4 linked regions of the Saccharomyces cerevisiae S288C genome follow. Changing the gene in region 2 together with the main gene of any one other region gives a genetic interaction. Each region holds a gene or a part of one and is shown on either strand. Other genes may lie near its edges.

Region 1 (8,064 bases), on a different chromosome or scaffold from region 2:
AGTATTAGTTGTAATTCATATTGTGTTTCTGTTTAGTACATATGTTAGTACATATATTCTTAATATGCTATGATAATGAGATACGAGAACCAGAAGAAACACAAGAATCACTCCTTGTGCTCCTCATCGTCATCGGCAATGGCAGAAGAGTCCTCTTTTGACTCTTCCTTGCCGTTTTTCTTCTTATTTTTGGGGAATTTAGGCAAGTTTTTCTTCTTATGGCCGTTAAAGGATCTTGATCTACCGCTGAAGTTTTTGGACTTCGAGGCCTCTCTCTGTAAATCAAACTGTTTTTTCGTCAAAACACTCAGTTTCTTACCTTCATATGACAAAATTTCGTTGGACTCATCGTCATTGGAATACGATTTCAAAAAAGCTTCACATTCTGGAATTGTCTTAAATTCCACCAAGACCGTACCATTAAATTTCTTGTTTCTGTGATCTCTTCTCAAACGCACTTGGTTGATTTCACCTAATTTTTTGAAAAAGGCTTCCAAGTTCTCCTGCAATTCAGGAATTTGGGAAGCTTCAACGTCCTCATGTGGGAAATTCATTACAGCCAAAGTCCGTTGGTTTTGCTCAATTCTGGCATTTCTGGCAGCAGTTAGGTCCAAAGGAACACGTCTCTTGACGTTCTCTCCATCAGCAGATACTTCCAAAATTTCAGAACTACGTAGTGCTTCGATAACCTTATCCACTGGTCTATATTTCTTCATACGGTTGAATGTGGCGATGGTGCTGATGGGGACCCATCCATCGTTTTTTTCCGCTGTTGTGCGCAAGAACCTGTCATATGGAAAGTTGAATTCAGAAAAGTAGAATTCCACTTGCTTTAAACATCTGTCCAAGACTTCTGGAGTAAATTCAATCACAGCAAATGAATTACGTCTTGATTGTGGTTTCTCTTGCTCCTCTTGTTGTGGTTTTTCAGACATTACTTCTTTGCAGATGCTACTTTAGTTCCAGTAGAACCAAATAGAACCCATTTTTTGGAAAAAGAAAAAAATACATCATAGCGATGAGATGCGACTCTGTGCTTTTGATTTGGTTGTAATTCAAAAATCTTGAGATATTGCGATGAGGTTGGGCTGAACACATTACACTAAGACGAAGACGAAAATTTTTTCACGGTCACGAGATGGATCTCGTGAATGATGATATCAATTATGCTTCCTTTGTTTTGTTGAGAATATGGTATGGTGTTCAAAATACTTATATTAGGAAGGGTTTAAGGTGAAGGGGGAATTCTTCAATAGAGAAGTTTAGTGGTTTCCCTCCGTCAGTGAATTCGAGCAAAAAAATAATGAGTGTGATAGGTAGGTTCTTGTATTACTTGAGGTCCGTGTTGGTCGTACTGGCGCTTGCAGGCTGTGGCTTTTACGGTGTAATCGCCTCTATCCTTTGCACGTTAATCGGTAAGCAACATTTGGCTCAGTGGATTACTGCGCGTTGTTTTTACCATGTCATGAAATTGATGCTTGGCCTTGACGTCAAGGTCGTTGGCGAGGAGAATTTGGCCAAGAAGCCATATATTATGATTGCCAATCACCAATCCACCTTGGATATCTTCATGTTAGGTAGGATTTTCCCCCCTGGTTGCACAGTTACTGCCAAGAAGTCTTTGAAATACGTCCCCTTTCTGGGTTGGTTCATGGCTTTGAGTGGTACATATTTCTTAGACAGATCTAAAAGGCAAGAAGCCATTGACACCTTGAATAAAGGTTTAGAAAATGTTAAGAAAAACAAGCGTGCTCTATGGGTTTTTCCTGAGGGTACCAGGTCTTACACGAGTGAGCTGACAATGTTGCCTTTCAAGAAGGGTGCTTTCCATTTGGCACAACAGGGTAAGATCCCCATTGTTCCAGTGGTTGTTTCCAATACCAGTACTTTAGTAAGTCCTAAATATGGGGTCTTCAACAGAGGCTGTATGATTGTTAGAATTTTAAAACCTATTTCAACCGAGAACTTAACAAAGGACAAAATTGGTGAATTTGCTGAAAAAGTTAGAGATCAAATGGTTGACACTTTGAAGGAGATTGGCTACTCTCCCGCCATCAACGATACAACCCTCCCACCACAAGCTATTGAGTATGCCGCTCTTCAACATGACAAGAAAGTGAACAAGAAAATCAAGAATGAGCCTGTGCCTTCTGTCAGCATTAGCAACGATGTCAATACCCATAACGAAGGTTCATCTGTAAAAAAGATGCATTAAGCCACCACCACATTTTTAGAGTAGTATATAGACCCAAAAACTGTAATTATCTTTTTAAAAAAGTAAAATGACTTACGAATGATTCTGATGATTTTATTTATTACGACTCATATACCCAGCGTAAGAAGTGATCAATAGACCGCTACTTTATTCGGAGAAAGAGAAAAGAACTTTCCATTGTAATGTATATATAACACCAGGCATGTGTCAAAAATGTGAGACTAAATAGAAAGAAAAATACGAGGAACAACAAATAATACGATCTTGTGCATATTTTTTCCCTTTTTTTTTTTAATTCTTTTTTTCTGAAATTTTTCATTTGTTCACTGTTTAATATCTATCCATTTTTGTTTCCGAATTTTCATTAACTTTATTACTTATTTACGATACAATTTTCCCTTTAATCTAGTACGAAATGACAACAACCTCAACAACCAGTGTAGATGGCAGAACCTCCTCGACTTTGAAGGCTACTTTATCTGCTTCAGGTCCAAATTCAAATGGTCCAACGCCCGCTGTGCTTCCTCAGAAGCCAAAATTAACAGGTTGGGCGCAGGCAGCTGCCAAAGCCCTTCCAAGGCAACAGCAACAGCAACAGCAGGCACGAAAAGATGATTCCGTGGCTGTACAACCTGCTAATACGAAGACTAAAACCATCGCATCTACCGCGCCGCCTGCTAATATAAAGGGTAGTTCCACCGCCAATGGATCATCCACAAATAAGAAATTTAAAAGAGCGAATAAACAACCTTACAATAGAGAAGAAGTTAGATCGTATATGCACAAATTATTTCAGAGCTATACCGCTGGTGAAAAAAGTCATTCAATGAAAACTTATAAGCAAGTACTATCAGAAACGGCAAGTGGCAGAGTTTCAACAGCCACTGACTGGGGTACTGTATCAAGCAGTAAAAATAAGAATAAAAAATACGGCTGTTTGTCCGATATTGCTAAAGTTTTAAGAAACCAATGAGAATATCGAAGCATCACGTTTCATAACGCAAAAAGGAGTCAAACAAAAAATGAAGTATGAAGTCAAGAAAACGAAGAAAAGAGGAAAATAGAAGAAATGAAAATATTATTTTACAAGCGTAAATAAAAATTTTATAATTCATAATGTCGAAAAATGTATACTGTGTTAAGACGCCTTTCTTTGCTTTTTCTCTTAGTCTTTATTGCATAGTTCACTTAGCCTTTCCGATGCTAGCGGCTTTTCGCATCGTTCGGAAATTAGTACCTTTCTTTTTGCCCTACAAGAAAAACTATTATACAGTGTAAATACAAGATAACAGAGACCGCTACTCAGACAGCAACTTCTAACGTTTCATCGAGACTAGTTTCCTTTCATATCATTTTATAGCAATAACCATTTTCCAAGTGCAAATCATGCCTCTATCAAAGGTGGAGCACTACCTTTCATACCATACGCGCTTACTCTTACCCCATGTTTTGTCTCTTCAGTCATCACATCGTGTTGCATACATCTTTTCGCTATTATCTGCGGTGTCAACTGGCTTCATTACTTTGATATCTCTTTACTCTCAACCGTGGCAGAAACATTTAAATTATTCCTCATGGCAAATCAACACCATCGCTAGTATGACTAATTTGGGGATGTACTTGACGCCACCAATCTTGGGGATGATCGCTGATTCTCATGGCCCCATTACTTTAAGTCTTTTAGCCATCATAGGGTTCATACCTAGCTATTCATATCTGGCTTACGTTTTTAATCATCCGGAGTTATCTCTCGGAGGAAATGGTGACTCATCATTCAATCTATCCATCATTTGTTTCGTTTTCATAGGTATATCAACAAGCGCTTTATACTTTAGCGCTTTACTGACATGCACTAAGCTATATCCTCATACAAAACTACTATCCATTAGCTTACCAACGACATGTTATGGTATTTCTTCTGTAGTCGGTTCTCAACTGCTAAGAATCAAATGGTTCTGGTCCTCTAACGCAAGTTCTTCCTCGTCCAATAGTGACTTAAACCTGGGAAGAGTATTCCAAACATTTGCCCTCGTTTATGTCGTTATTGGGCTACTTGCATGGATAGCCACCAGCGTGGTATCACTTTTGCATTTTAATGAAGAGCAAGACAACCAAAAACGGCTGGATGATCAAACTGATGTGGAACAATCACCGCTGTTAGAACGAAGTAATCATGTTCAAGAAAAGTTTACGCAGACGATGCTAAGGATCTTTAGTGATCCTGTGACATATATCCTAGCGGTATCAATTTTGTTATCACTTGGGCCCCTCGAGATGTTTATTGCCAATATGGGATCACTGACTAACCTGCTAGTCCAATTAGATGCGCCAACCTTATCTACAAAGTTGTTATCCACATACGCGCTATCTTCCACTTTTACGAGATTGCTCACAGGCATAGTGGCAGACTTCTTCGCCAAGAAAAAAATATCAATTAAATGGATCCTGTTGACTTTCCTTTCATTAGGGGTATGTGCACAACTGTTTTTATTGAAAATGACCTCTTCAGCGTCACCCTGGGGGCTAGTACCTACAGGATCATTGGTTGGAATTGTATACGGTGGACTTTTCACTGTTTATCCGACGCTGGTCCTGTTAGTATGGGGCGAACGCTCATTCGGGACTGTTTACGGTAGCTTACTAATTGCACCTGCTATAGGTTCTATGATATTTTGCATGTTGTATGCCAAATTTTACGATTCTCGCTGTATGAGTGGCGGAGGAGATCTGCGAAATCCGTCCTGTATTTCGGCTGTCTACAAGTACAGCAGTATCGCATTCGTTGTATCCGCTGTTCTTTCAGCTGTAGTATTTTGGAAATTAAAAAGTAGAAAACTCAGAATTTAAACAAAAAAGAAACTGCTACATTTATTTTTTTTAAAATTCATAGCTTATATAAATGACACCAATAAATTGCACTTATTTCTTTTATGCTATGCTATTGTTTTTGATACCCTTTTAAAGGTACCGGTTAAAAATTGAGAGAAAAAAAGAAAGAACTCCTCATAGGGGGCTCGAACCCCTGACATTTCGGTATCCTTGCTTAAGCAAATGCGCTTAAAAGCCGAACGCTCTACCAACTGAGCTAACAAGGATGAGTTCTTCGGAGAATCCTGGACATAAATTTGTCCATGTTATTTTAAAGTTTTATCAGATTTGCACTGGTCTTTACCGTTCCAACACTTTGTACATGTTGATAATAAGAATAAAATATCATCCATCGACTGCTATTCTTCATATCAATTGTACATTATCATATATGATGTAAGGTGATTGGGAAACAGTCATCAGATCTTATGGAAAATAAAATGTGAAGATTCATAATATGATAGGGTAATGAATGGCAACATATAAACGAATAAGAAAATCCGCTTCTAAAAAGAACGGAATTCACCAAGTATCCCAACATTGACCCATTTCTTATGCTTACATATTGTTATTTTTTGCCCCTGTCTTAGTAGCAGAGCTTTCGTCACATGTTCAACTAAATTCCAAACAGTTGAACTTTTTGTTCTACTGATCTTGTAATTCATGCTTCCTTCTATGCAACACGCCATACTAATTTAGTAGAATGAACAGTAACTGGTGAACGATGACTCTGTAGTAGAATACTATAAAAAGGTGGCATCGTATAAAGGTGCCTTCTTTGACCCTTGGCAGGTAGGGCGGCAACGGCACAATGATATTTTATTTAACAAAAAGATACGCTAACACCGCATCTGAACACGTAATACTACTATATGACTTGGAACAAATGGCTAATCAATAATCACATATGTTCGACCGCTGCAGGAAAAGAGAAAAGAAAGCAGTTTCTACAAGCAAGAACTTGGAAATACAGACAAACCTCCAGTACTTTATTAGGATTGTCCATTCCTCACCCAGATATGTTAAATTCGATACCAATGTGTTTTGATTCACGCGCAGAAAGAAGGACTTTCCCTGCTCTGCTCGGCAAAAACATACACGTTGTCGACCGAGCACGACTGCCGTTGTCGAAGCCACCACTGTCACTTCTCGTTTAATATCTTTAATCGCATCATCTATAGTTCCTAATTCTGCATTCCTAACACTGTAGCCTATCCAGCAAAATCATTCCCATTTTCTCTTTATATGTGCCTAGATTTTAAAATTTTGCTTAAGATGATTTACATTGAGGGGGGAAACTTGCTTTATCCGCTCCTCCAATTGATTCAAGAAGTATGGGCGCTGACCTACCATCTCAATTTCTTGTTTCACTCGAGAATTGTCACTGAGATAGTAAATGTCTAGAGAATCCTTTGCAACAGGAGATTTCAAATTTATATTCTTTGTGTTCGCATTCGCTTCCCGTCTGTTACTCGTTCCCTTACCATTCTATTATGCATTGCAGATCTGCCAAGTAAAAAAAAAAATACCTTGGTGTACACACCACCCATACATTATCTGACAAGGAAACAAAAGTAATGACAGTAAATTGAAGAACTTGTGATGAGCCAAAAAGAAGAATGTGTGCACTTCTTTTCGTATTTTTATGGTAAAGCCAGTTGGTGGCTTTCTTTGACGATATGAAACCCAGGATCCCATGCTGCCTATGTTGCATTTATGTAATTGTCTGTATGAAGCTCGCATTTTAGAGTTACTACTATGTGCTTTCTATGCAGTTGCTTGCCGCAGCCAAGACGTAGAGATTTCTTAGACGTGCTTTTTATTTCTTATGAAAGTAAAGAGTGTGTATACAACGAACTATGTTAATAATTAGTAGTACCAGAACATTGACTTTCGTAAGGACCAAACGGCATCCCTATCTCGGAAGAACACCACATGATGCAAGTTCTCCTGCCTACGAATAGTTCGTCAGGTGCCAGCACTGAGACCACCCAAACTAAAGGCAATCGAAAACTATACCACGTTTATCGTTATGTTTCGGCGGCTCACCTTGTATCAACCTGCTTGGCAAGCTGCTCTGCGAGGCTCCATTTTTTTACATTTTCAAGAGGAGTACATTTCACCTTAAAAAACGGCACGGAGAAAGCCTAAACTTGGTTGCATATACGCAATTACAAATCTTTTATAACTACTTCTGATTCTGTGCACGACGTGCCACCCGGTACAGTTCAAAGGTCACTATACGCACTGTCGATCGAGCCAACCCAACCCACAGAACATCCTAAAGCTTCAAATCGAAACGCGTACAGTCAGCATTCTTCATGCTGCACCCGATCCTTCTTACCGCGTGCTGGGTGAAAAGCAAGACTAAGAGCAAGACCCTTGGATAACGGCACCAAATGGACTACTTTCGTCCTTTCCTGCAACTCTGACTATAGCTTTTTCTATCATTGCCTAAACCAAACCGTCCACGCCACCTCACCAGCAACGCACAGCATGAAGAACGCGAAAACAGAAAAAAAAAACGCCAAAAGAAACGGCCACCGTGTACTTGCTGGCCAGCTAGAAATGCCTCGGGAGCCACCACGTTTATTTTTATCTCAATCTCTGAAAAACTTTTTTTTCTTTGTTTTTGTCGTTTTTCAGCATGAACAGCGCAGCAATAAACAAACAAACAAACAAACAGACGAACAGACACAGAACCACAGCTGACCGGTAGTAAAGTAAGCTGGTGGTTTCTCGCTTTGTTTTCTTTTTTTCCTTGCCTCGTGGCGCTCTTGTAAACATATATATAGTAGACTTTTCACGTCATTGTTAGAAGTTTCACATAGTCTTGTTTTCTTTTCTCCAAAACTGTATTTTTTTTTTCTTTGTCTATCTTGTTCTCACCTCTTTGACTTTGATAACGTTCATCAAGTGTGCAAACTACTTTACATTCGCTAACTCTTTTCTTCTGTCCAAATATTTTGTTGACTATACAA
Region 2 (8,170 bases):
GATAATAACAAGGGATAACTGTCCATATTAGGTATGATAGAAGGAAGATGAATAAATGAAAAAAATGGATGGAATTCTTCCTTATAGTAAGTCACATAATCGTTCAATTGACTAGTTGTGGGGAAGGCTCCTGAATCGATATTATTGTCGGCTAGCATCATACTCCTTAGCTCATTGGTAAAAAGCACTTGAGATACTGAAGGGACAGAAAACGGAGATAACAAATCCGAAGGAGTAAGAACAGGCAGCTGTTTCTGTGTTGCATTAGAATCAGTTTCGCCGGGGAAAGACAAAGTGAGAACATCGTCGTTCACATGAGAATTATTTTGCTCTGTCCCGTTTAATACCTTGGAAATATCCAATTGCCTTGAGCTGAAAAAATTGGATAGATCGTAGTCCATCATGACGCTATCACGACGCCTCTTATGAGAACTATGGGAAATAGGGTCAGAATAGGAAGGCTCCTTTAGTTGGTTTTGTGGTGTACTTGGTAAATCTGTGCTTCCATTCAAACTCAAGTTTAAGCGAGGTGATAAAGAAGCTTTTTCATGATTTAATGAGGTAGCAGAATGGTTTGGAGGTGACTTGTTTGGTATAGATGACCTTGATGAAGGTGGAGAATAAATAAACCCAATGTCATTGAAATGATTGAAGTTGATCTTGAAGGTAGATTTTGGATCAGAGTTGTTAATAAACTCTGATAACCACTTGTCATCTATGGCAGCAGGATCGATATTACTATCCTTATCATTGGGCTCCATTGATGGTTCCAGTAAATTATTTGTGCCTGGATTGAAATTGATCGTGGAAGAGGAATCTGAAACAGTTGTTGGTGGGTTTTTAGGAGATAGTGACATAAGCGGCTGCTCATTGCTCATTTGCCTATAAGTTTGATTTGCCAAATTACTGTAACTATTAGAAGCCGTAGTAGAATTAGACGGTATAGTATTCGGGAAGCTTGACGGAAGGTTAAATTCAGAAACTGTCGGTTTATCATGACTGAAGCAGCCCAAATCAAATGGCGAATGGTGGCTAGACATGTATCCTCCCGCACCTGCATGTGCAGAGTTCATTGTCAAAAGATCGGTTAAAGATGGACCGCTACTTAAGAGATACACTCCAGGTGTAGCAACTGTACTTCCATTGTTGCTGTTCACTATGGTACTAGAGGTGGAATTTTGCTGTTGTTGTTGTTGTTGTTGTTGCTGTCCGGAGGGGTCATTGTTAAATAGATTTAAGTTAAACTTGATAGCTTGCGGTGGTTCGTCCAGGGTTAACGGAGGTAAATCCAATTCTGACACGCTTTCCATGAGCTGCTTCGCGGTCATTTGTGGAGTAGAAAAGCCGACTTGATGCGGAGCGTCTTCAACGAGCTCGAAATTGGTAATTGAATGGTGGGGGCTATTGCTACTAGACATGTAAGTCATTGCACTGGATGCAGAGAAAGACGCATGTCTTTTCGTCTTATGCATGGAAGAGGGAGTGTTCGCCCTGTCGATAACAGCATCGCTTGATGCAGAGTGAACTGGCACGCCTTTCGTGCTGAACTTGAACTCTCGAAATCCTAGGGAGCCTGCCTTACTAGGAGGAGTTTTCTCTCGCTTATCGTTCATTACTGGGGCCGAGACGGGAAGTTCTACATTATTTGATTTGGCCAAGGCAACCACGGCCTCTTTCAATTCTTCAGATGTCTTACCAGCAAGGTTCTTCGGGGTGGGTAGAATAGTCTCTTTATTTCCGGCTATTTTAATGATATGAAGGTCGGTTGGATCATCCGCCGCCACGGAATGGCGCCGCTTGGAGGCAAAAGAAGAAGTCGAATTTGGTGCTGGCGTCATTCGCCGTGGATCCCCCGTACCTACAAGAGCAGCATGAAGTTTTTGCTGATGCCTGAGCACTAAATCTCTACGAGCAAAACACCTACCGCAAAAGATACAAAGATACGGTTTCTCACGGGTATGCGAATGCTGATGTCTCTTCAAATGCTCCTGCCTGACAAAACCCCTAGTGCATGTGGGACACAAGAACGGTCTTGGCTTATCAGTCTTAATAATTCGAGATTTTTTAGGAATGGGCAGAATACCTTGACCAGCGGGCTTAGCGAAATTAGATTGATTACCGTTCACAAACATACTTGGCTCCGGCACTAATAAAAAATCTTTATCTGCCCTATCTATTCTAGTATCGCCAATGTCTTTTAGCTTCTTCGCCCTAAAGTTTCTTTTTGGTGCAAGAGTCTTCGAGAAAAACGTGTGTTGAGAGAGGCAATGTTTAACGAAGAAAAAAAACTCTATGGAAATCCAAGAAGTCCTTGTTTCTTTGTTTTCGTTTCTAATATATGCAGGGTCAAGCGGGAAAAAGAAAGACAGACGGAAAAGTGCCCAGCAACACGGAACAAAATTGTCCAGATTTATTCGAGCGGCCGCGGTTAGTATGCATAATGCAGGCGCCCCTCGTCCAAATGCGAACGGTTCCATCCGAAACAGGCCATTTCCCAAAAATTATTTCTCTTAATAGAAGTTGCTCGCGTAGTTACCTATTGTCGATGCCGCATACGCAGTTACCTTATCCGTTGCCCTACGGAGAATTTCCGCGATGCAGCACCGTGCGGCGAGATCACAATTTTCCTTGTACACTCTACTCTGCCCCTGGAGTGGTTCACCCCCGTCTGTGCGTATTTTCGTGTATGATGATATAAGGTCGTTACTACCGTTGATTCAAAAACAGTTGCTTCTTCCATATATTGTAGCACGAACAACTATGGCCGGCCGCAAATTGCGACAATTACACCTAACGCAGCATTAAGGTCGCAGGAAATGTTATCTGCCGAGCTGTTTATCTCTGTTTTCCAAGATTTTTTCAACCAGCCCATGAGTCTGCTGTTGGCGGCAACCCAGTTACAGATAATGGTGCATGTGATAAGCTTCGTACCACTATTCGTAGTTTGTTACATCTTGTAAGCCAGTATATATATTTGTTAGATTGTGCCCTAACGTTCCAGTAATTGAAGGGTAACCGAGGTTTCCGTGGAAAAAAACCGTGTATAAGCAAGAGGTTCCGAGCGAAAAAAAAAAGTATAAAAGAAAGCACAGGCAATGAGATTTGTTTTTCGCTTTTCCTTCTTATTTGTTAATTCTATTTTTGAAGTTTCCTTCCGAAAAAAAGTAACTTTGTCCTAAAGTACTAATCCACCGCATTAGACAGTACGAAGATCGAGCTATTTATTTGAACACTCGGTCTTATTCGTGATAAGCGTAATGTGGAGAGATCAATTTCCGGGTCATTTATAAGAACTCGAGTGGATTGCTAGTTGTTTTGATTAGCTGAATGAGACTCGAGTGTCAGAAGATGACTATATTTTTTTTCTTTTTTTTTTTAGTTATGTTTTATTTTTGAACTTGTACTTGCACATGTATCTTATTGTTTCGTGATCTTGTAGATCCGTATGGGTGCAATCAAAGGTTTGAATTGCAGGGCTTTCATCGCGCGGATCTCGTTGTTTGCGTCGTACTCTGTGCTGGTGACTATGGTACATTTTAGCCCGAGTTTATTGCACTCTTGAGAAAACAGTTGGACAGTGGATTCGCTTCTAATTGTCGCGGATAGGAGACACAGTTTGCATCGGTCTAAAGCAAGACATTCGGCCAGACACTCGCATAGATCAGGAAGGATAGTTGGGTCATACGTAACATCTGCCCCCACTACTAAATCTATATCCTCAGGAACTCTATCGCTGCCCCACCATAATCTTTGCAACTTGATGTCTGGTTCGTTCTCACGCACTTCATTGTTCAATTCAAAATTTCTTTTCAGCTGCGTCTCAACGAGATTCGAATCACCATCCGTGACGTACATCTTATTTACGAACTCGTGATACTTTTGTAAAATGACGAGACTCACTATGCCTGTGCCAGCGCCGACCTCAAGAACATTTAATTTTTTCTTGCCATCGTCTTGTCCTTGTACCGGTGCCAACTCTTGTAAGGGCTTATGAATAAGGAAATCACCCATGTATAAGGCAGCTTCCCATGTCCTGAAACCTGTAGTACTGGCCGCACTGATCAAATTCGGTGTTTCCTCAATTTTGATCTTTACGTCCTCGTCAAACCTGTACCTCACGACGTCTTTCATCATCGGGTCTGGCTTGCCTGTGCTTAATAGTTTTATGTACTTCTCATAGAGATAATCATATATCTCTATCTCGTCTTCGCCATCGTTGACAATTGTGAATGCCTTCGCGAAAATCCATTCGTGGTCTAAGAGCATCTTGACTATGGTTTTGCAATAATATGCATTCGTCTTTTGCACAAGTTCCATCTCACAAACAAATCTCGATGCATGCAGGACATCGTTAGATTTGCTTGTTTCCAACTCTTCTAGCAAGTATTTTCCAGGGCACCGCTGATGTAATCTATCGTAGAATAGATCTTCATTCATGTTATCTTTGACGAGGAGGGTCAAGTTTTACTAGCTCGATTTTTCTGCTTTCTTTTCCTTTTTCATTTACTTATACATTCTTCATCATTTTTGCGATGATGTACTAACTGCTAGTATTTATTTCGCTGTTTGTCGTGTCCGGACAATCAGCATTAAAATTTTCTACAGAGTTTTCTAATACATATAAACATTTTGGCTTTATTCCCCTAAAGCTTTCTCAATGGCACGCTGAAAAACATTGCATAAAACGTCGCTATTTTCCAAACCGACGCTCACTCTTACAAGATTTGTTTCGACACCATATTGAGCTACCTCGTCTAATTCCTGGTAGTGGGCAATAATAGCATATGGACACGCCAAAGTGAAATTCGTACCGAGAGAAGGTCCTTTGCACAATTCCAGATTATTGAAAAACTTCTTTGCCTCTTCAATATTGAAAAAAGTTAGTGAAAATAAACCTCCATACCCACCATCTTTTGTAGACATAACGCTGTCATAATTCCGCTTGGTATCCTCTGATGTTAAACTGGGGTAATATATTTTCTTGAACAATTTTCCCACCTGAGGCAATAACACCCTTTTTAACAATATATCAGTGTTTGTATTCACCTTGATTGTACGTTCCACGAAGTCTCTCGAATTTCTTTCCAGGCATAACGCATCTTCGCACCATAGGCAATCTTCATATCCGTCTTCAGTCTTCATAAATTTTCTAGCAAACTCATAAATCTTTCCTCTAGGATTTAGTACTAAGGATCCTGCAATAACGTTCGAGTCGCCGCTGAAGATTTTCGTTAGCGAACTACAAACAATATCGGCATACGGTAATACATCTATATTGACAAAGCCACCCACAGTTTCATCGACCACTATGTAAAATGAATACAAGTCTGATAGCCTTTTCAGTTCTTGTAAATCTCCCATTTTCAACAGTGGGTTCGATGGAGCTTCTATAAATACCGCCAGTATTTGCTCACCAGAATGTAAAATATTTTTCAGAGCGTTCATTGACGTTGAATCTCCCTGTCCCAAGAAATGTGTGTGATTGAACTTCCGAAGAATGCTCAGAGTATCTGTATATGGGAATCCAAACATGACGGTCTTCTTGAACGGAGGTCCATATCCAATCAACTTATCTTGTCTACTAGAAGACCTTGATAAGCGCTTGGCATCGAAGTTTAAAAGCAGCCTGTGGGCAGTGAAAATGGACGCCATTCCACTTGGAAATAAGTAAACATCCGTATTAGGGTTGACATGAAACTTCAAGTCATCGGTAGCTGTGTTTTCAAAAGTACTGTTTGAGCCACTTTCTCCCATAGAAGTAATTGTTTCGGCAGGTATGTCCGAATTCAACTGATCATCATCCAGAGCCTCTCCACTGCCAACATTGAATGGACCGTTGCTCTCGTTATAGTGTTCAAAAGAGAATAGGTCCGATAGACCTTCAGAGTCAATTTTTTCAACAACTTTTGTGGCAATCCTCTTTCGTATTAGATATTTGGCTTTATCAGCAGCAAGAAAATTTAAATTTCTCCCAAATCTCGTTTCTATATATTCTTCGTTCACTCTGTTTTCATCTTCGGTCATAAATTTTTTACCGTTATCCACTGTTTCCATCTTCTTAAGATTATCCTTGACTTGTAATTCATGTAAAATATACTCCGCCATTCTGCTAGATACAATCTCACCAGAATGTTGCCAATACTGCTTCATCACGGGGAATATTTCCTGGTCTACAAACACCACCGTGATTTTACATTCCCTTCTCCAGAGCTTTTCCTCTTGGTTCATAGGTTTAGGTGTACATAGTTGTAAGATGCGTACTTTGGTAGAAAGACCCGTTTTCACTTTGATAAACTCTCTGCACCTATTGGCAACCTTGTAAGAGGGGAAGCAAAGACAAGCTTCATCTTCCATGGAGTACTTAGCGGATAAAATTTCACATAATTTCTTTATTGACTTGTGTATGAAAAATCTTGGATATCCGGTAGTAAGCGAGTTAATTATACTGCTTTCACCCTCTTCATAGCCTACTGTAGCTTCCCATGTGGGCAAACACACGGAAACAGCATGTTTTGTGTTGGGCGGAATAGATTCACCAATGGTTCTAGATATCATTTTTTCTTCTGTTCCTCTTCTCTCTCTTGTTTATGTAGGTCCCGAATCGGCACATGAGCGTCATTCTACTATCGTTATATATATGGGTATATATATATATATATATCCAAAATATATGACTAATTTTTAGACCGAGATATTGTGAAGTGCAGAGGCGCTATCATGATTTTTGTTTTTTACATCCACGCATGAAGATAAGTCATATTTACTAGGTTTGAAGGGTTTTACCTGAACAACACTGGCAATCATTGAAGTTAATTGAGTTCTTAAACCGCAAGATATTTTAATATGAATACTGCTATTTTTAAATAAGACTGTAGCAAAATGTGGGGTTAAACTTTTACAAATTCACTTTGGTTGTAACGCATTTTCTGTGGAAGAGCAATTATTTGGAATTTTCAGTTTCGCCAAACGAAAGAATGAAAGAAATGTGCTTTGCCAAGAAACGAAAGACGACAGAAAAAGGTAGTAAAAGAGGAAAAGGTTAAACATTGAAAAAGGATTCTATGAAGAACTCTGTCGGTATTTCAATTGCAACCATTGTTGCTATCATAGCAGCTATATACTATGTGCCATGGTACGAACACTTTGAGAGAAAGTCACCGGGGGCCGGAGAAATGAGAGATCGGATTGAAAGCATGTTCTTGGAATCGTGGAGAGACTATTCCAAGCATGGCTGGGGATACGATGTGTATGGACCTATTGAGCACACTTCCCATAATATGCCTCGTGGCAACCAGCCGTTAGGCTGGATTATCGTAGATTCAGTGGATACCTTGATGTTAATGTATAACTCCTCCACACTATACAAAAGTGAGTTCGAGGCAGAAATTCAGAGATCGGAGCATTGGATAAACGATGTTTTGGATTTTGATATTGATGCCGAAGTGAATGTTTTTGAAACTACTATTAGAATGCTAGGTGGTTTATTATCCGCATATCATCTATCTGATGTTTTAGAAGTAGGTAATAAGACTGTCTACTTGAACAAAGCAATAGATTTGGGGGATAGGCTTGCTTTGGCGTTCTTATCCACTCAGACCGGAATTCCATACTCAAGTATAAACCTTCATAGTGGCCAAGCGGTTAAGAACCATGCAGATGGGGGGGCATCTTCTACCGCAGAATTCACTACGCTACAAATGGAATTCAAATATCTGGCGTATTTGACAGGAAATCGTACTTATTGGGAGCTGGTGGAGCGTGTTTACGAGCCATTATACAAAAATAACGATCTTCTAAATACCTACGATGGATTGGTTCCAATTTATACATTTCCAGATACTGGGAAGTTTGGTGCTTCGACTATCCGGTTCGGATCAAGAGGTGATTCTTTTTATGAGTATTTACTAAAACAATATTTATTGACGCACGAAACACTTTATTATGATCTGTACAGAAAATCCATGGAAGGTATGAAAAAGCATTTATTAGCACAATCCAAACCCTCTTCTCTGTGGTACATTGGGGAAAGAGAACAAGGTCTACATGGACAACTTTCTCCTAAGATGGACCACCTCGTGTGCTTTATGGGGGGATTGTTAGCATCAGGCTCTACTGAGGGCCTTTCTATTCATGAAGCCCGAAGACGTCCGTTTTTCTCTCTTTCCCTTGA
Region 3 (6,895 bases), on a different chromosome or scaffold from region 2:
TGATGAGATTTCAATTGATCCGGGGGACATAATTACTGTTATCAGAGGCGATGACGGTAGCGGGTGGACATATGGTGAATGTGACGGATTGAAAGGTCTATTTCCTACAAGTTACTGTAAATGAACGAAGGAATGAACTGAAACTATTAAATATTTTCCCTGGCCGCCACTTTTTTGAGAGGTATGACGACTCTATGTTATATATATATATATATATATATATATATATAGCACAAAATTTCATGTGATCAATCTACTAGGCGAACACCTAAATTGTTATTTATTTCCATGTCTATATCCATTTCAATGTCTGGCTCATCTTCGTCCTCGTTTTCGAATTCGGATTCAGATTCGGATTCCAAGGTAGTCTCCAAATCACAGTTTGTCCTACAGTTCGGACACATGAATTGAGGATAATTCATAATAACCAATCTTCTTACACAATGAAAATGCCAACTATGGGCACATGGTGATATAAAAATGGCTTGGCAAGGTTTTATTTTGTTTAGACAAATGGAACAGTCTTCTTGTTCTAAACCAGTAGTTAGTTTCTGTAGATTTTTTATTCGGCTCAAGGCTTCTTTATTAAATGCATTGGCCTTTAATTTCCAAGACTTGTTCAATTCTATTTTCATCTTAACACAACGATATATCTCTTCCGTCCCGCCGCGAAAGTCCATACCCAGCTGTATGATATCTCCGTCATGTAAAAGGTAGTCCTTAGAAGTGGTAGACGCAGAAGATAGACGCTGGTGGTTCAAAAAGGTCCCACTGGAAGACTTGACATCTTTCAAAAACCAGTTTCCTTGGTCATCAACTTTGAAACACCCATGGGTCCTGGATATCACTTTTGATTTGAACACTACGGGATGATACTGATCTGGAATTTTGGAAATTGCCTCTCTTACTCTTTCGGTGTATCTTCCGATGATAATTTGCGAGCCTGCGCCCGCAGTCCTGATAATGGGGTCAAAGAAAAGACCCTGGTTAGCCACAGACGTGGATGAAGTATCTATAAACGGGGTTAGCCTAATGCTGAAAAGCCCGTGCTTGTCCATTCTGCGTTTCAAAGTAGATTGGTCTATCCGTTCCGGTAGCGAGGTATTTGGTGGGAGATGTATATCAAGTGAAAACTCCGTCTGATTGACTTGGTTTGGAGGATATATGAAATGGCGGATACTCTTTGTAGTGTTCACCGCGGGGGCTGTATTCGTCTCCACAGTGGCAGCAGCAGCAGCAGTAGCACCAACATTGCCGTTTGCGCTACCGTTATTTGCAACGACTAAAGAAGTAGCCGTACGCGAGGGCAAAATACCTAAACCATTGCTAACGCTATTATTATTGCTGTTATTGTTAGGCGTATCGTTAATGGTGAGAGAGATGGATATCGGTAGTCTGATGGGATTGTTGAACTTGGTGTGATCGTGAGAGGTAGCGATGCCAGAAGCAGCAGGTGGCGTCTGGTTTGGGGGAGATGAGGGAACAGTATTAGTAGACATCCAGGAATAACCACTATACAGAACGTATGTGCACAGGAAATCGACACTGTAAGAAGAAAAGCTCACGGCACAAGAGTCAGAAACAGGGCAGTGAACAAAGAACGAGAAGTACGGTTTACAGTTGAGCCGTACACCGAGTTCCTCTTTGAATAATATCGAACCTATACACTAATGCACTAATGTGTTTCTGTTCACACCCAGAATTCTAAGGCTCCTGCTGATCCCAATGCTAAGGTTTATCAATTTTCTCATTCTCTTTGTGGGCCGTAAACAGTGATATTCTCTCACGAGAGCGCTTAAAGAGAATGGAGAAGCCCAGCCCCACCAGGCGGCAAACTAGTAGTCTCTCCACTATCTCCAACGGTATGACCATGACCAACGATAATAGGGATACCACAAATACCAACAGTGGCTCTACAAGCAGCAACAATTCACAACCATCTTCGTCTTCCACGCCACCAGCGGCCAGTGGACCCGTAACGGACAGAACCAAAGTCAACTATGTACCAAAGAGCGACGATCCGTCGTCATTTCAATACTACCCAGACGACCCGGAGAACCCGGTCAATAAGTATAAATTCGCGTTAAAGGCTGACAGTCAGTACTATGATCCTTGTGAGGAGTCCTCCAAGCTCAGTTTTCAGTGCCTCGAGCGCAACGATTACGACCGATCCAAGTGCCAAGAATATTTTGACGCATACCGCGAATGCAAGAAACAATGGCTGACAGCCAGGAGGAAAAACAGACAGCAGTGGGAATGAGGCAGCCTTTTCTTCTTGTTTGTTCAGCTGTGATCTGTTTTCTATATAGATCGCCACTACGCGACGTAGTGTTCCGACAGGCAGCCACAGCACACTCTAGTGCAATGTGAAAAACTAATTCGCAATGGTATGTAAATAAGCAAGCTAAATTGGATTTTCAAAGTGCGAATAAAGAATTTTTTGTATATATCTCTACATACTTGTATATACCGAACATAAGAAGCTCTTATGGCCGAAAACTCCCTCCTGAGGTTTATCACCAAGAACAAAGTGGCCATCCTAGCAACGGTCTCTGCGGGGACTGCTGCTGTGGGTGCTTATGTTTACTACCAGCAAATTAAGCAGCAGCAACAGCAGCAATTGAAGGGTACAAAAGACAACCGACGTCAAAGTGAGGCCTTTGCTGGTCAAAATGAAGACGAGGCGGACTTAAAGGACGACGGCAGCGTCGTAAGTGGAAGTAATAAGAGGAAGAAGAAGAAGAATAAACGCAAGAGGAACAATAAGGCAAAATCGGGAGAAGGGTTTGACTATCCCTCCTTGCCCAATGGCGAGCCTGATATTGCCCAATTGAAAGGCCTATCACCCTCCCAGAGACAAGCGTATGCCGTGCAACTGAAGAACAGAGGTAACCACTTCTTCACTGCTAAGAATTTTAATGAGGCCATCAAATACTACCAGTATGCCATTGAGCTGGACCCGAATGAACCAGTGTTCTATTCCAACATATCTGCTTGTTACATTTCTACGGGCGACTTAGAGAAGGTTATAGAGTTCACTACAAAGGCACTTGAGATAAAACCTGACCATTCTAAAGCCTTGCTGAGACGTGCATCTGCCAACGAGTCACTGGGCAACTTCACTGATGCTATGTTTGATCTATCTGTTTTGTCATTGAATGGTGACTTTGATGGAGCCTCCATTGAACCTATGCTGGAAAGAAATTTAAATAAGCAAGCAATGAAAGTACTAAATGAAAACCTATCGAAGGATGAAGGCAGAGGCTCGCAGGTTTTGCCGTCTAACACATCTCTGGCGTCATTTTTTGGGATTTTTGACTCTCACTTAGAAGTTTCTAGTGTGAACACCAGTTCAAACTACGATACTGCATACGCTCTATTGTCAGATGCTTTGCAAAGACTATATTCTGCAACAGATGAAGGTTACTTAGTAGCAAACGATCTTTTAACAAAGTCCACTGACATGTACCACTCTCTACTTTCTGCAAATACAGTGGACGATCCTTTAAGAGAGAATGCTGCCTTGGCATTGTGCTACACGGGTATTTTCCATTTCTTAAAAAATAACCTGTTAGATGCCCAAGTTCTTTTACAAGAATCTATAAACCTGCATCCAACACCAAATTCGTACATATTTTTGGCATTGACCTTGGCCGATAAAGAAAACTCTCAAGAATTTTTCAAATTTTTCCAAAAAGCTGTTGATCTAAACCCTGAGTATCCGCCAACCTATTACCACCGTGGGCAGATGTATTTTATTCTACAAGATTATAAAAATGCCAAGGAAGATTTCCAAAAGGCCCAAAGCTTGAACCCTGAAAATGTTTATCCCTACATTCAATTAGCCTGTTTGTTGTACAAGCAAGGTAAATTTACCGAATCTGAAGCTTTTTTCAATGAAACAAAGTTGAAGTTTCCTACCTTACCTGAGGTGCCCACCTTTTTCGCTGAAATCTTGACAGATAGGGGCGATTTTGATACTGCAATTAAACAATATGATATTGCTAAAAGGTTGGAAGAAGTGCAAGAAAAAATACATGTGGGTATAGGACCCTTGATTGGGAAAGCAACTATATTAGCTAGACAATCCTCTCAAGATCCAACCCAGTTGGATGAAGAGAAATTCAACGCAGCCATTAAGCTGCTGACAAAAGCCTGTGAATTAGATCCACGATCTGAACAAGCGAAGATCGGGTTAGCACAACTAAAATTACAAATGGAAAAAATTGACGAGGCCATAGAATTGTTTGAAGATTCTGCAATTTTAGCAAGAACTATGGATGAAAAACTTCAAGCTACTACCTTCGCGGAAGCTGCAAAGATACAAAAGCGTTTGAGGGCTGATCCAATCATAAGTGCAAAGATGGAGCTAACATTAGCTCGTTATAGGGCTAAAGGCATGCTTTAGAAGATATGTCAGGTATTGGTCAAATATATACTTTTAGTTAATACTGGATATGTTATAAAGGTTCTGTTAATGCCAAATCCATTTCAATTCTTTTCTTCCAAATATTGTACTGGTCGTCTGTGACCAAAATATTGGTGGTTTGTAACATCGATCCCAGTTTCCTAAATATAATTTCATCGTATCTGATGCCATCAAAATCATCATACCTAATTTGCAAATCTCTGAACCATTTTTCACCGATAATTAATTCCTTCACTAATTTTACACATTCAATAACATCATCCACTTTTGACGTCAACATCAAGCTGCACATCTTACTGACTATAAAATGGTCAATTCTTGGATCCTTGCGTCTTCTTTCATTAAATACAATGAATGTACAATTTAATACTAACCCACACACTAATTGCCATGGGCAAACCAATCTTGACGCGTTTATGTTGTACTCATCCACAATTTTATATGCTACTTCTCTTGGTAATTCAAAATCGTTGCAAAGCCGTATTATTTCTTCAGTAGTCATTTTGCAATACTTCTTTACTAACAAAGAATTTGGTATTCTGCCCCTTTTCCTCAGGGCTTTTGCCGTCTTCAATTCTGATTGCGGTTTTCCAACTGCCTTATTTTGTTTCGTTCTCCCGCTTCTGCTTTCTTGCACACCTAATGGCTCTTCCTCACTTGTAGGGTCACTTTCATGGTTTTCATACTCATCAGAATCTACATTTCTGGTTCCAGTAATGCTCTTATTACTATGGCTTTTTAAAGACAAACCGTCGTTTCCTGGTTCCTCTTCATCCTCATCCTCATCCTCTTCAAATGCTAACTTTCTCCTAGTAATAGACGGCGATTCATTGGTTTGCATGGGGGGTAGTTCTGGTATTACGAACGAATCATTATTTTGGCTTTTCCTAACTTTAGTTGGTGTACCAAACAGTTGATTCCTCAACTCTTTCGGATCAGAAGAAGTAAACCTCCCACCGTTCTTTACTGGACTGCGTTTGTTCTTTTTGGGGCTCGGTGTCCAAGCAAATTGTTTCATAGGTGAAGAATTAGATAAACTTTGTCTGAAAAGGTTCATTAAATGCTTGGCTTTTTTCGGCTCCAAGGGAATACTGTCTATATAATAGCAAAGGTCAGGCATGTGTTTTTCATTCATTTTCTGTGACGCTATGTATGCACATATGTGACATCTAGCAACCTCTTCATCTTGTTTCAGCATTACCTTGTTCAGTGAAGTATTATATAAAATCGATGTCGCATTAGTCAACTTCTTCAAATATCCGCTCGACCAGTCCGGTTTTTCTTGTGGATCTAGTCGAAGTACTTCTGCGACACAATGTTGGACTTGTTGCATGGACATGACTGGTTTTAATGGTATTGTTTTGGCCAATTTTATTTACTGATATTGTACACTTTTTTCTGCAATTTTAGTGTGAGATTTTTTTTTTCAATGCCGATTTCTTACTAACGTAAACAACGGCAAAGAACAAAGAAATACACAGTTTTATCACAAAGAGTTGATTTTTGCTGAAGAGAAGCGTGAGGAGTGTATTCGAAAGCCTTGCATATTCTGGACACTTGCGATTCTAGCTCTTTACGGACGCCCGCATTCTTTTTTCATACTCTGTTTCGTGCTGCTTTCACACAATATTTTTCAAAAGTTTCTTCTCATCGTTTTTCTGTTAGCAACCCTCAACTTACGAGAGAGTTGCGACTAGCATAGGTAACATTCCTTATTTGTTGAATCTTTATAAGAGGTCTCTGCGTTTAGAGAATGTCAAATTACTATAGAAGAGCACACGCGTCTTCTGGTTCATACAGACAACCCCAGGAACAGCCTCAATATTCGCGTTCTGGTCACTATCAGTATTCAAACGGCCATTCTCACCAACAATATTCTAGTCAATATAATCAACGTCGACGTTATAACCATAATGATGGTACAAGGCGACGCTATAATGACGATCGCCCACATAGTTCAAACAATGCAAGTACGCGACAGTACTATGCTACTAACAACAGCCAAAGCGGCCCATATGTAAATAAGAAATCTGACATCAGTAGTCGGAGGGGCATGTCTCAATCACGGTATTCAAATAGCAATGTTCACAATACATTAGCGTCTTCGAGTGGATCTCTTCCCACAGAATCTGCTCTGCTTTTGCAACAAAGACCACCTTCAGTTTTGAGATACAACACAGATAATTTGAAGTCTAAGTTTCATTATTTTGATCCCATAAAAGGCGAGTTCTTCAATAAGGATAAGATGCTTTCGTGGAAGGCTACAGATAAAGAATTTTCTGAAACAGGTTATTACGTAGTCAAAGAGTTACAAGATGGACAGTTTAAGTTCAAAATAAAACACAGACATCCGGAGATAAAAGCATCCGACCCACGTAATGAAAACGGTATCATGACTAGCGGAAAAGTGGCAACCCACAGAAAATGCAGGAACTCACTAATTCTATTGCCTCGCATATCTTATGA
Region 4 (7,468 bases), on a different chromosome or scaffold from region 2:
TAATTTACCTCTGTAAGAAGTAAGCCTTTGTCTTGACTCACTTGGGTAAACTTTTCTCTCTACTGCAGAAGAAACACCATCGTTAGACATTGGCTTCGCAATAGACACTTGTTCCACACTAACAGAAAGCTTATTCCCGAGGTATCCGCTGTTGGATATTTCGTCTTCAGAATTGAGTGGTTTTCCATCAAATATAACTTTTTCACCGATGTCTTTAACACCAAGATTTAACAAACCTCCATCCGGACCTTCTGTTAATGCGTTAAAAGACCCAATATGAGGTTGAACAGCTTCCTGTAATAGTGGAAATGCTGATTTATCCTTAGGTGGATTGATGAACCTAGATTCACGTTCTAAGGTACGGAAATCAGCAGTTCTGGCTTGGCCAGGCGGCTTAATCACTTTGCTCATCTCACCAAATGCGTAATTCTACGTTTATTTGTCAATATTCTTGAGGAAGACTTGCTTGAATATTACGAGACAGCTGAAGTAAGTTTGAATAATTAAGAGATGAGATGAGTCTCTAAGATGCGCTTGAAAAATTTTTCATACGAAAAAAAAAAAAAAAAAAAAAAAAAAACACTCGCAAGAGTAATCTCAATAATAATTTCCGTCATTAGCGATTATAGCATGAAGGGAGGCCGAGAGGCCGCTTCTGCGGTATGATAATTAAGTGGTAGTGCAGAGACTCAAAAGGGCGCTGAGAATCTATTAGAAATGCCATTAAGTGCTTTGAACTCTTGTAGCATGTCTGCTTCTGTAGATATAACACTCTGATGCAGATTTATGAATAATTTCATCACTCGATGTCATCAGCGTCTTCCTTCATTTGATGCTTTTTTGAAGTTTTCATGGCATGATTTAGCATTTGAAATATAATGAGAAAAGAGCCCTTTAACTTACAGAAGTAAATGTACAAAACTTAATCGGAGGAAGAAGCTTAAACATACAAAAACAACAGCAGGATGACTACAAAGAAGCCGTTAAACAAATCTTTTTGTCTCCGTTACTAATTCACTAATATAGTAATTTTGCTAACCTCTATCGTCATTGAAACTGATTTGTCCTCGAGAAGGCAACAATCAAACTGCAAAAGAAACGTAAAGCAACGACTTGAACAAGTAATCGCTAACCACATATTGAGATAAGCAGATAATCGCTGTTAAACGTCGTTGATACAGTCAGTCAATATGAATAGTGTAGTATTTTATCGTTAGGTTCACCTTCCAAATATTCGTTAGATAAAGATGTTTCGGTTTTTTATTTCAACAAAAGAGCCTTGTTGGCGCAATCGGTAGCGCGTATGACTCTTAATCATAAGGTTAGGGGTTCGAGCCCCCTACAGGGCTTTCTTTTTTATTGCATGGTCTATCATCAGGTTCCCTTAACCGCTGCCAAGAAAGAGCACGTGTAAAAATGGAATGATTATACATCAATTAAACATATAGTCATGGTGGTGTTGACATGTATATAATATACATTAGTTTTGTCATATTTGAAGAATAAATAATATTTCGATTTGTTCCCGACAATTATTGAAAATGTTTTAAGTGTAGATATTAATATAACAAATCATCAACATGGTTTTTAATCCTTATCTTTGGCAAGGACTTCATCTAAACTAGATAATTCTGGGTTACCTGTCAATCTCAAAGTCTCGTCAGTTCTTAATTTCTTATATGTGAAGTATGTCCCAGAGCATAAAGCTACACCAACAGCGAGAAATAACGGTGTTAATTCGACGGGTATTTTGTAGCCACCAGATGTTTTTTTCTAGTTTTTTGTTAGTATAATACTCTATAATCTTGTAGTTAGCATTCATAATCAACATAATTGTTTTCTTAGAAAGCATCAAGTCAGAATGAACGCATGATTATCCGTTTGTCACAATAAAAAGAAAATATCCCTTAACATACAGCTGTATTCAACAGTAACTGTGCTGGTCTCATTTTTCTATATTTTTCTTTTTTTAAAGTATTGTCAGAAGTCGTTCAGGAAACTACCAAAATTAAATAAGTCTCAAAACAAAGTTAGCTTATACTGGTATGGGAAGAGTTATAGTTGCTTTTGAGGAGATGGCGATGCCTTTAAAGTCTGTTCTCATGCTCATCATAAAGTACGGGAAATCCCCCGCTTTGTACGATATGATTGGCCCATACTGCAAGACCGATATAAAGAAAAATAGACAAGTTAATGCTATATACAGGATGTCGTTCTTCAGCGGAGGGATCGCGTCATTACTTGGTTTTCGCTGACCCAAGCCTGTCACCTCAAGCTCACCAATTTCTTACAGAATCACATACAACTTCGTAAACTAGCCAACTCACTGCAGTTGAAGGAACAACTTTAAAAAGGTTTGCAGCTAAGCCTTTGTAGTAACCGCTAACGCCTTCTGCTCTGCCGATTGTCACGAGCGCATCCCAGACACTCGTGTATCTAAATCCCAGTTCATTTCCGCCCATTGCGAGAACTTGAAATCTTCTTCTTAGCAGATCAAAGGGATAAGTGATTGTTTGCGCAACCCCTCCACTTATGGCGCCAATTGTTAATTTATAGAGGTTACTTTTCCAGGAAGGCTGAGCATCGGAGGAATTGACACCGAATTCTCTCAATTGTTCGTAAACTGCAAAGTTTAGTGCTACATATGGAACAACACCAAGACTCGTTGGCCATACACCCCTATATAATCCCCTGAGACCGCCTTCGAGTCTGTAAGTTTCGCTTAGTAATTGCCAGATCCCCGGAGGCTTTGATATACTTTTTGCCTTTGAGCGGTTTAAACTGCTCAAATTTGCTGTCTGAATCGATAGTCTTGTTTTGATCAAGTCCAACGGGTAAGTAGCCACCACACTACAACCACCACACAATGCACCACTGAATAGTCTTTGGGTGTTCGTTAGTTGTTCTTGTCCATTATTGCCATTTACATGGAATAACTTTTTCTTACAAGCTTCGTATACTACAAACTGGACTGCACTATAGGGAAAAATTCTTATGCAGTTCAAACCATTTCCTCTGAATAAACCTTTGGTTCCCTCCTCATGGTAAACCTGCCGTATAGAGCTAAAGATACCTCGGTTATAAGAAGTGGTTGAACTTTGAACTTGCAGCAGTATTTTAACTCTCTCAAAAGGTGAAACAACGGTTCGGGAAACCGCGCCAGCTACTCCACCAGCTAGAAACGCAATATTTGAATCCTGCTTGAGAAAATCTTTAATTGAGTTCGGCTGCTCGAGGACGGTCAGTACTTCTGCCATGTTAGCGAAATAACGATTAAAAAATTTGAAAGTCAATACTATGAAACAAGGAAACGAGCAACTTGGTATACTTCCCTCACCTTTGTTAAATTCACTTGGCCTTACTGGCAATCATAATCATTTTGACGAACTGCGGACATCGAGAGTACCCTGCAAATATATCTAGAAAAAGAGGTAAAAAAATATTGAAGGGTCAACCTGAAAAAAATTGAAAAGTGAAAATAGATCTGCTGATAAATAATGCACGGCTTGCATCAAGTGATCACATGGAACTTTCCCAATACCTCAACTACGCATTTTCCCTTGCATATTATATCATCATCCATCTTCTTTGCCTCTCATATATTTACGAAATAATACATAAACATAAAAACGTCTTTGTGCGTCCAAGTAAACTTGAAGACGCACTCCCGTTATATAAAACTGGGAAGAACACTAACAAAGAAGGTGACTTGCGCTTAATTAGTTTTATTCCCTTGCTTCTAAAGTCCGTAAAACATTCTATTAGAGTCTATACATAGTTTTGCCTTACCTTTGAATATGAGTTCTAAAAATTCCATTGCAATAAAGCTTTCCGTTCCTATTGTTTCTATGTAGTGTTTAAGACTTTGTTTCTTTTCCTTTCATGGCTTTTCAAATGTCTCAGCATATTGCTTTTCACATTGAAGGATTTTGTGCAACCCTCCCAAGTACATTTGAAAGGAGTATCTCCCGTATGAATTAAGTAATGTGTCTTCAGCGTTGAGGGCCTCGAACAAATTTTTCCACATACTGGGCACTGCTTTCTCAGCTTTGTGGATGATATTCGGGTGTCAGTTTTCCAATCAGAAAATGTTGCTGAACCGTTCAACACGGCACCAGGTTCGCTTTTTGTTCTGCCGTTACTGGCTTCCTGCATGGTTGGAAGTACGCCATACCCAGGTGGGACTGATTTTGGCCTATCGTGGCATAGCTCTAAGGCAGCGTTTGGGTGACTCGCCATTGATATTGCAGTGAAGTTAGGTTCGGAGGCAATTGTTATTGGTTCTTTGTCGTATGGTGTCAATGGTTTATATACTGTTGGGACCATGACTGGCATCATCAAGGGAGCAGAGGAGGTCAAATGAGGAGACTGGCTATGTGGTATTGGTTGCTGACTTTCCGTATAGTAGATAGGATATTGATCAGATGTTGCGTTCATGGAAATTGGGGTGTAGATCTCATTAACAATGGGTACAACATTCATGCTTTGATAAACTTGCTGTGGAGGGAATTGAACCCTTGAATCTACGTTAGGTGGTGTATTATTTTCAAAATTAGGCAAAAGGGATGAAATTGGTGGTAAGTTTATTTTCGTACTATTATAACATTCCCGTTCATTTTTGTAGCTATTGTGGCCATAAAATTGAGTCCCCTTACCAGTGCTCAGCTGATCAACTGCGGACACTTGAAGGGGGAGGTTCGATTTATAATTGACTGTACACATTCCTATATTAGGAGATCTTGACTTGTCTGTATATGATGATTGTTTTTCTGAACTTTGCTTTGAAAGGGAAAAATTCATGTAATTTACTTTAGTGGCGTTTACTGCTATTTTTCGAAGGTAGGTGATGAACTTGTGTTATAACTAAGAAGCTCAAAACTAAAAGTATACTAATGTTTGAGGAATTATTGTGAAGCCATAGAACAATAAAAAGCTAACAATTGTATCTTTCGTTCAACTTGTCAAACCCTGACAGGCATATAAAAGAGGTATTTTGAAACATCAACATGTAGTAGTCACATATATAGCAAAATAGTAAGTAAGGAAAAAAAGAAGGCACAGAGAATACAACAATAATGATGAAGGCACACGACTGCCCTTTCCGGGCCACCTGCAGATCTGTAAGGTAGTTCAAATGACGTTCTCGCGCGGGTTTCTTACTTATGAAACTTTAGGGACATAAGTCGGGAACCTGATGCATCATTCTTTATCTTGTTTTTTGTTGTTGTTTGAGTTTCTTGTACAGAATAATACGCAGAATTAAAGCGGAAGTTAAAAAACAGATCGTCTTGATCTGCCCTCAAAACCAGTATCCACTGAAAACCTTATTTCCCACCGTAAATGGCAATCACTCGTAGCTCAAGGTGGAATGCTCCCGTAAGGATATTTCCTATATGAGATAGTCCCGATCCTGAGAAGAGGGATCGCCGTCATTTTATTCTTTAACCCCGAGAAACGGCATCTCTCACCTGATTGTTCTCAAGATTGCTGCAAAACCCAGATATACTTTTAGGTACGGAGCGTACGCGATGTATATGGATTGATTTTCACATGTATCGTTTATGAGTACTTGACTGCACCTCGTGTCGGAAGATTTTCCAATCGGGCTTTTTTTCAATCTTGAAGGCCCTCCTTTTCATTTCCATTTGCTCTGACATTGCGGCTATGCATCACAGGCAAAAGCTGAAAAGGAAATTTTGTAGCGTATCGGTTTACTGCACAGTCTCAGACCCTTTGTAGTACTGTTACCTGGAAGAATAGTAGGTGCGTACAACAGTGATTATGTAGTAGTATCTACTGAAGAGCCTACGAGCGAAAAAAAAAAAAATTATCGGCTACATTACGTTGTTTCCTACGGAGACAAGAACCAATATAAGCTGCAAAAAATCTATGAGCATTTTAAGTTTCCGATACAACAAGATGTATGCGTACTATTCACGTCGTGTTATATTGCTCACGTAACAACTTCTATGACAATAATAAAAAATAACCTTTCCATTGTATCATTAAGGTTATCTACGGAGGATTGTCAAACCTAGCGGATATGAAATGTACTTGATTCCTAATTCGGGTTTATTTAGAGTTCAGACTATGTGGGTCATTTCTTATGCTAATAATAGGCACTGAGGTAAGTCAAAATAGCGACACTCAATTACTGTTGAATGGGAAGAAAAAACCGAGAAAGGGATACAGAGATCTTGCCCACGCCTTTTTTTCAAAAAGAGCCCTTCGCAAGGTTGCTCAACGGGATTGTCATAGAAAGAAAAAATCAAAGCCAATAACTACAAGGCCAAAAGTAATGGTAGGGAGCTACTACAAAGTGGGCTCAGCCTACCTGAAGAAAATAAACAATTAATGGACAAGATCTGTTAGCGGACATACAAGAGATCAAATTACCTTCTGGTTAATGCTGTAGGCGAAGCAAACCATTCAATTGAGGAAACCTTATTCCCAATTGCGCTTTTGCTCCCTGGAAGCCTATAACAGCGTGTGGGCAAATAAAGTTGTTTTTCGCCCTCAGCGACTTTACTTCGGAAACTGAAGAGCGGCTAGAAATTTCGCAGAAAAGATTTTCCTTTGAGGATAGAAAAATGAAAAAAAGAAATTTATCTTTTTTCACAACAGGTGCTGCTTTTTCCTCACGTATGCACAGAATGCAAAGTACAAGATTTGTAATACGCGACTCCGCGCAGCTGTACTCTACTCCCAAGTCAGCGGAAAAAATGCAAGACATACAGAAAGTTGCCGCTTTATTGGCTATTTTTTTGGGCGACAGCCCTGGCTAGCCTCCTCATTGGGTTGTAGAGGAAACAAAACTGAGATGTCTTTGGACTAATGTCAGCAATAATAACTCGTAAAATCAAGTCAGAATTTCTATCCATTCAATAGGTATTCATTGTTTATGAAACTAAGAAACGAATGTAAATAATTCTGGGATATAACAAATAGTTCCCTTTGGATTACTTAAAACATAGTACTGCAGCTAAAATTTGTAAAAATGTTAACGTTTCTTTGCGTTGAGTAACTTGACCTTCACACGTAGTTGCAAGTACCGATGCAAAATTTTTACACTGGTGACAACCTTAATGGTATAATCCAATTAGCGACATCACCGAGAAAGTATCCAAGTCGATTTGATGAATAAAATAATAACTTAAACATTCAACGCCGTTTGTTAATACTGACACCTGAAGGAGAGTCAAAAAGGCAAACTTTCTTGCAACAATCATAAAGCTAAGGCACCGCTAGAGCTTACGATATTGGCCGCAAAAATAACTATTACACTTTTTCGTTTCTGTGGAAATGTAGGGTGATCAACTGGCTAATTGCTGCCTTTTAAGATATGCGGAGGAGATTGTGCAGCCATTTTCATTTTAGCGACTCATTGATGGAAGTATTCAAGTCAAGATCACTTGTTTAAATTCAAGACTACTGTTTAAATTCATAATTTTTTATTGCTATCTTTTTT

What was found.
Region 1: mutations in STR2 (region 2) and MCH1 together harm fitness more than expected from each alone (negative genetic interaction), as found in Saccharomyces cerevisiae (2 studies listed by BioGRID).
Region 3: mutations in STR2 (region 2) and COX23 together harm fitness more than expected from each alone (negative genetic interaction), as found in Saccharomyces cerevisiae (2 studies listed by BioGRID).
Region 4: mutations in STR2 (region 2) and MRX21 together harm fitness more than expected from each alone (negative genetic interaction), as found in Saccharomyces cerevisiae (2 studies listed by BioGRID).

The regions. Positions count from the first base shown.
Region 1 is NC_001136.10:356,823-364,886, reverse strand, and holds MCH1 (Mch1p), read left to right. Parts: upstream 1-3,601; coding exon 3,602-5,062; downstream 5,063-8,064. Other genes in the region: tRNA maturation protein LHP1, read right to left, coding at 108-935; 1-acylglycerol-3-phosphate O-acyltransferase SLC1, read left to right, coding at 1,304-2,215; PBP4 (Pbp4p), read left to right, coding at 2,631-3,188. UniProt on the Saccharomyces cerevisiae protein: Probable transporter. Does not act in the transport of monocarboxylic acids across the plasma membrane.
Region 2 is NC_001142.9:660,583-668,752, forward strand, and holds STR2 (cystathionine gamma-synthase), read right to left. Parts: upstream 6,556-8,170; coding exon 4,636-6,555; downstream 1-4,635. Other genes in the region: RSF2 (Rsf2p), read right to left, coding at 1-2,477; YJR128W (uncharacterized protein), read left to right, coding at 2,339-2,698; EFM3 (protein-lysine N-methyltransferase), read right to left, coding at 3,418-4,437; MNS1 (mannosyl-oligosaccharide 1,2-alpha-mannosidase), read left to right, coding at 7,062-8,170. UniProt on the Saccharomyces cerevisiae protein: Catalyzes the formation of L-cystathionine from O-succinyl-L-homoserine (OSHS) and L-cysteine, via a gamma-replacement reaction. In the absence of thiol, catalyzes gamma-elimination to form 2-oxobutanoate, succinate and ammonia.
Region 3 is NC_001140.6:339,861-346,755, forward strand, and holds COX23 (Cox23p), read left to right. Parts: upstream 1-1,804; coding exon 1,805-2,260; downstream 2,261-6,895. Other genes in the region: BZZ1 (Bzz1p), read left to right, coding at 1-124; ubiquitin-conjugating protein DMA1, read right to left, coding at 249-1,499; protein channel TOM71, read left to right, coding at 2,489-4,408; ORC6 (origin recognition complex subunit 6), read right to left, coding at 4,461-5,768; histone methyltransferase SET1, read left to right, coding at 6,183-6,895. UniProt on the Saccharomyces cerevisiae protein: Required for the assembly of cytochrome c oxidase.
Region 4 is NC_001148.4:580,786-588,253, forward strand, and holds MRX21 (Mrx21p), read right to left. Parts: upstream 3,258-7,468; coding exon 2,277-3,257; downstream 1-2,276. Other genes in the region: DNA-directed RNA polymerase I core subunit RPA135, read right to left, coding at 1-411; MRA1 (Mra1p), read right to left, coding at 1,588-1,773, 1,917-1,949; CMR3 (Cmr3p), read right to left, coding at 3,847-4,800; YPR014C (uncharacterized protein), read right to left, coding at 6,404-6,733.